Linked DNA regions of Bombyx mori. The protein of the gene in region 2 purifies or fractionates together with the protein of the main gene of each other region. This does not show direct contact. Links are inferred from orthologs where the notes say so. Each region holds a gene or a part of one and is shown on either strand. Other genes may lie near its edges. The genes, in order: Ywhae and 3-phosphoinositide-dependent protein kinase 1.

Region 1 (3,841 bases), on a different chromosome or scaffold from region 2:
AGATTCTAACCGATGATGCCTTGTAGATGAGTCAGTCTCAATTGAACATTTGCAATTCATATTCCTCAATGTGCCGCAGTCGATCGATACGCAAATATCTATCTAGCCCGATGATCTTTTTGTCGTCATTAAATTTATTTCTTCTAGATTTCGATGCGAGATTTATCAAAACAAAGTTCAGTCAATTTTACTTAATAAAGATATTAAATTATGAAAATCCTTTGCGTGACAGGTACTGTCATCGTACGTACACTTTGATAGACTGCGGTTTTATATTTGACGATGTTTTTAAATTATCATCACAAAAGTTTACAGAAATCTCTCTACGATCAAAACTATTTCGATGGAAACTGTCAACAGGGCTCCAAAAATTTAGCTATTATAGTATGTATATATTTATATGTACTTAAAGACATATTTTTTTAATAAAATAAGAAATAGAGCGGCTGTACATAAAACTAAGTAGTCAGACAAAGTGCGTCCTTGACACTTTTTTAGGCGATTCGTCAACAACGCTGTTGAAAGTTGAAAGGTTGAAAGGTCCATTGTAAGTTTTTTAAGCCGGCTATTGAATTTACTTTAAAAAAGATACCTATTTAAGTCTAACCCACATTTCAGTTTCCCTATTCTGACATCGTCATAAAATTTATAAACGCTTATATGACCACATTTTTCAACAATTATTACTTAATGATAATATTAAGTGTGTAAGGGTATTTTAACATTTGGAATTAGATGATTCAGTCCGTGCGACTCCTATGAGTACTGGGCGTACCGCTGATGAAACAACTGACTATGACTCACTTTCCTCATTACACGCCGAGTTACAAACTCTCCAATTCCAGTTTTTTGTCTGTCGCAGTTAGTGATAAAAAATGTTATGTTTCTAACGGTTTCTGTCGATTTGAACGTGGCGATTTCTTAACAATGATCACAATAATATTTATGGGTTTTTTTATTAATTCTAATGTAATGAGATAATTTTGCTTATTCGCTTCAAGATGCGCATTTATTCTTATGTTGTCATGTCGCCACAGGAATTCGAACGGCACCTTTATTAATACTTCCATGGAACTTTTACCTCAATATTATATTGTCTAACTTGGAATATGACGTAAGTTAAATAGAACAAAACCATAAAGAGTAATATTTTTGGATTACGATTCAGCCCAAACTCTAGATTCACGCATGAATCAGACAAAATGATTCACTATTCGTGTGTCCTGGCAATGCAATTGTAACTTTAGTTGCGACTATTCATGGACACAAAGTAAGCCGAGCGACTGATATCGATCACCGGGGAATGCTTTGCGTGTGATTTAGATGCTTAATGTAATTATTCCTACAATTATTTGTTGTCAGTTTTTGGGTACGTACTAATTCCTATTCCTTAATTCCATAAATAAGCTTATTTTTTAGAATATCGAAGTAATTTGTAACATTTTTGAAGTTATGTTAACTGCGGAATTTTGTTAAAGAAATAAATTAATGATTTAACTAATCTTTTCGTCGTTAAGAACAAATTACAAAGCTCGCTGTCGTTAGATAATAAGAGTGCCTGAGCTCGGTGCGGGTTCGATAATTTTATAAGGTCAGACGGTCGGATATATTTAAATATGTAATAGAAATTCACAAAAAAACAAGCCAGCGACTTGCATTACACTTGTCGATAAGATTCAAATTGCGTTTATGAAGTTAACATTTAGTTGGCTAACTCTCGATTAGCTTGGAAACAACCAGGAGCCCCGACGGCGCTGCGGATCAATAACTGAAGCGGCGCGTACAGACGCGGTACAGACGTCGGCTGGCGATGTCAGGTTTAAATTGATTCACCGCAAATTGTGAAAAGGCTAATTTAACAAAAGTATTAATTCTAAAAAAAATGTTTGTCGAAAGGTACATTACAAATCGGAAAAAAACAACACTTATTTTATTTCTTCACTACATTTAAATGCGACGTGTTTTTTAGTGTGTTACTTTCTCGCAGCAATGGAGCAGCGTTTAAATAACAAATTCTGTACTTTTGCCTAGTATTAAAGAAGAAAGCATGATCAACTCATTGCTAGCTACAATAACACACAGATCAATGAATACAGAGTAAAGCAAATTAGCTGCTGAGATAAGCTATTAATTTTATCATTTCCCATTATTAGTCATTTTACTTAAAAATGTTTTTTAAGTGAAACTTCTTTAGGCGCGTTGAGAATAAAATTAAACTCGCGACAGATTCGTTGCGACTAGAGAGAAAACATATAATTTAGGAAGAGCGAGAGTGAGAAACAAGACAGCGTCTCGCGAACAGCTCGACCGTGGAGAGGAAGGGAACGAGTCGGCTCGTTTCCCTTATACACATTTTGTTTACGGGCGTCCGCCACTAGATGGCTTGTTATTAGTTTCTCACTGCTCTTGTAAATACTATCTTATTTTTAAAGAAGGATTTGAAAAAATAGTAATATTTTTCTATATATAATATATATAAATGGTGAAAAGATATACACAGCATTACCTATTACAAGAGAAATTTCATTTAACGATGAAAAATGAAGAAAACCGAAATACTAAACACCGCAAAAGAAGTCTCACTTCTTTCACGTGCACCAAGTTGCACGCGCACCGTTTTCTCCAAACATAAACAGTTGAATCAATCAAAAAGTAGTTTGATACTACATATGTATTGGGGAAGCGATCTCTCATTTTCCAACATTCAATTATATAATGTAAACATGTTCAACAATGACATTTGGTTAAGGGGCTACCACTAAATGATCAACATTGCTGTACTCAGATTTCTCTCAATTTATAATGAATCTATAGCTAAGACAGGTAAAATTCAGGAGTTCTCTGTATCATGAAACACTAAAAACATACACGCAGAACATATGTAAACTTTTATCATGAATCAATCTCATGATAAAAGTTATGAGGCCCTCTAGATGCATTAGATTAACAAAACAAGTCTGGATACCAAAATATGAGGTTTTTCTTCTAAACTCTCAATGCTTGGGTGATACTAAAACACAATCATCCAATTTATTTATCCGGGCTAAGCTCTGATTATGACAAGTTACATCAGCAGACAAGTAAGTGTTACACGAGACTCACTTTTGTTTCTTCCTTCTGTTCGATGGAGGAGATGATCCGCCAGGAGGCGCGGCGGGCGCCGATCACGTTCTTGTAGGCGACCGACAGCAGGTTCCTCTCCTCCACTGTCAGCTCATTGTCGGACACGTTGCGTGATGCTACATTCTTCATCGCCTCCACCATTTCTGAAAAATAGGATATATTATTCGTTTTAGTACATTTCTACCATATCTGGTACTTTACTGATGATAGGACCTCTTGTGAGTCCGCACGGGTAGGTACCATCACCCTGTCTATTTCTGCCGTGAAGCAGTAATGCATTTCGGTTTGAAGGGTGGGGCAGCCGTTGTAACTATACTTGAGACCTTAGAACTTACATCTCAAGGTGGGTGGCGCATTTACGTCGTAGATGTCTATGGACTTCAGTAACCACTTAGCACCAGGTGGGCTGTGAGCTCGCCATATTTATAGATATTTATTTTTCTTTTTATTATTGTTATTTAGGAGATTGGGCAGATATTTGCTCAACATTTCGACTTTTGATAATCTAGTATTTTCCTCAAACTTCAACTCATCATCTCAAAACAATGTCCATACTGTGGCGGGTATACAAGTTGGATTGATAAGGGACAAAAGGGCTTTGCCGCTAAGAGCTATGACCCTTCCGATGGGGACCTTGGCAACAGTAACCCTTTATCATCAGGTGGCAGCTCTTTTGTGTTCGTTACATAGCCTATAGGCATCTTGGTCTGAGCCATCA
Region 2 (2,570 bases):
CCAATGCGTAAGAATCTGGATCTTCTAGGTAATATGTACGATTCGGCTGCAAAAATATTATAACCAATTCAATATAATATGACCAGAAGATCATCAATTATATTTTGAAAATATAGTATGAAATAGTTTAAATTAATAAATTATAAAATACATAAATTATTTAATATGTACTGTATTTTTGTACACACAATCATAATTAATAATATCACAATTCATAATCATAATTATTACTTAAAAGCAATACTGTATTATTCTTACCGTATGTACTAAAAATATTCTGAAATTTTTGGCTTCAACGCGCAATTCTGGGGACCAGGGTATTTCCCCCTTAAGGATCATATTTGCTGGGTCAACGTAGAATAGTCGAGGTCCAGTAGTAAGAAGCAGCATCCGGCGCCTGGGAAACAGGCCCTTTCGCTTGTCGACAAGGCCCTGTTTCAGTATCAGCTCACCATCCACAAATTGATGCCATTTACTATCTCGGGCTTGAATTTCTAAGCGGCGACGTTTTTCTTCAGGGCTGATGTTCAATATACCTACAAAAAATAACCCTTATTAAATTTGGTAATTAATTATAATCAATCCTAGTTTATTATAAGTGTGTATGTTAGAGCTTCATTTATTTTCATAAGCTTAGTAAAAAAGTGTAAGTAGAGTTAAAAACAAACCTTTGGATGTCGATAAATCTATTCCCCAAAGACGCACTAGCTCTTTATTTCCAAGACCTGGTTCAAGATAGTCGGGCACATTATATTCTTCTTCAAATGAACCTCCTGGCAGGTATGGACTGATTTTCGGTGGAGTTTGCTCCCACAGTTTATCCCAGTCAACGCCTTCAAAGAAAGGATGATTGCGGATACTGTGGTACGTCTCTCCTTTATCGTCAGCTCCTATTCGCTTGGAATGATCGAGCACTAATAACTTTTCTACAAGGTCTTTAGCATCTGCTGGAAAACCTTCCGGAAATTCATAATCCATTTTGAGAATCTTTTGGAAAATTAAAAATTCCGTTGCAGCGCGGAAAGGAGGTAATCCTGATATCATCTGGTAGATAATACATCCCAAAGCCCACAGATCAGAAGCCCGAGTGTCAACACAATCGTGTAGTAATTCTGGACTAACATACTGAGGCGTGCCAACGAAACTGATTTTCCTTGAACGTTCATTTTGTGAATTATCATTTTCGTTATTTTTCGGAGAAGAGCTAATTTCTTTGGAATTAAGAATTTTTGCAGTACCAAAATCGGCTATACACAAATGCATGTTCTCGTCTAATAGTATGTTCTCCGGTTTTAAATCCCTGTGAATAATTCTTTGCGCGTGCATTTTCTCTAAAGCCCATAGTAATTCAGCGGCATAATGTTTGGCCACATTTAATTCGAAAGAGCCAACTTTATTGATATATGAAAGAAGTTCCCCATTCTTCGCATAAGATAATACAAAGTACAATCTCTCTTCATCTTGGAACGTACAATACAATTTAACGAAACCGTGGGGCACATTAAATAGCATATTTAAAGCGTCTTTTTCGCGTTTTATGTATTCTCGCTTCTTTTTTCGTATTATGTGATGTTTCTCACAGACTTTAACTGAAACAAATTAATGAATATTTTACTACTTTAGTTATGTAATGTATTATGATTATGATAAAATTAAATAATTTAACTTTAAAACTATCAAACGTGGTGTATGTACACTTACTTGCATATTCTTTCCCGGTGTGTATGTCTTTGGCTAAGAAGACTGTACTATAACAGCCGTCTCCTATTAATTTTCCGAAGATATAATCCTTTGCAGATCGCTTAGTAGTTTTGTGAGACTGGCTCGGTACCGGAGATGAAGCAGGGGCGGGGGCCGTAACTGTCGTAGCCGGTGAAGCCTGCATTTTTACCGGAGTTTCCACTATAGACTCAGCAGCCGCAATAGGAGCACGGACCTCACTAGACGCTCGACTGCCAATCTGTAAAAAAAAAGATTCCTTTTATACTTTTTTTCTTATTGGTTAACTGACGAAGTCCGTTTACGATGAGTGTAAGCAAGTGTTCTAAATCGAAGTTTCTTAAAGTGATTTAGAATAAAATTCACCGTGGATGATGCCTGGGTTAATAGGTCTTGTTTGTCAACAAAGTTCTAAAAATGAATCAGATTACTTTTGATATTTTAATCTGTCAAACTGACATTCTTTAGCATTAGTTTAGTGTTAAAGTCACAGCTTACGAAAGACTATTTTGTATGGATTATTTTTTGTTATTTAGTAAAAAAAGGACGAACATCTTTCCGAGCATACGCATACTACACATACATATATACTCTATATATAAAATTTTTAGTAACTGCATTTTAAATTCGAAAGAGACCGAAATTATATTTTAAATATCGTTGTTCTGATATTTTCTTTTACGCAGTTGTATTACATCCCTGACGTTCATGGGCACCATCAACCAAGTTCGATGCTCCATTTCTCGAGTTCGTTCGCTGCTAAGTTTTTTGTCCGTTTTTTAATGGAAGCGTCATCGTGCAAAAAATGAGGCTCCCATTCAATAACATCAAGTGAGACGGAGACAACCATA

The links.
Region 1: the proteins of 3-phosphoinositide-dependent protein kinase 1 (region 2) and Ywhae purify together in Homo sapiens (affinity purification with mass spectrometry; 3 studies listed by BioGRID and IntAct, with this or other methods). This does not show direct contact. The link is inferred for Bombyx mori from reciprocal best matches to the Homo sapiens genes PDPK1 and YWHAE.

The regions. Positions count from the first base shown.
Region 1 is NC_085122.1:14,135,528-14,139,368, reverse strand, and holds part of Ywhae (14-3-3 epsilon protein), read right to left. Parts: intron 3,267-3,841; coding exon 3,103-3,266; intron 1-3,102. UniProt on the Homo sapiens protein: Adapter protein implicated in the regulation of a large spectrum of both general and specialized signaling pathways. Binds to a large number of partners, usually by recognition of a phosphoserine or phosphothreonine motif.
Region 2 is NC_085117.1:13,115,469-13,118,038, forward strand, and holds part of 3-phosphoinositide-dependent protein kinase 1, read right to left. Parts: intron 1,961-2,570; coding exon 1,702-1,960; intron 1,590-1,701; coding exon 669-1,589; intron 537-668; coding exon 259-536; intron 47-258; coding exon 1-46. UniProt on the Homo sapiens protein: Serine/threonine kinase which acts as a master kinase, phosphorylating and activating a subgroup of the AGC family of protein kinases.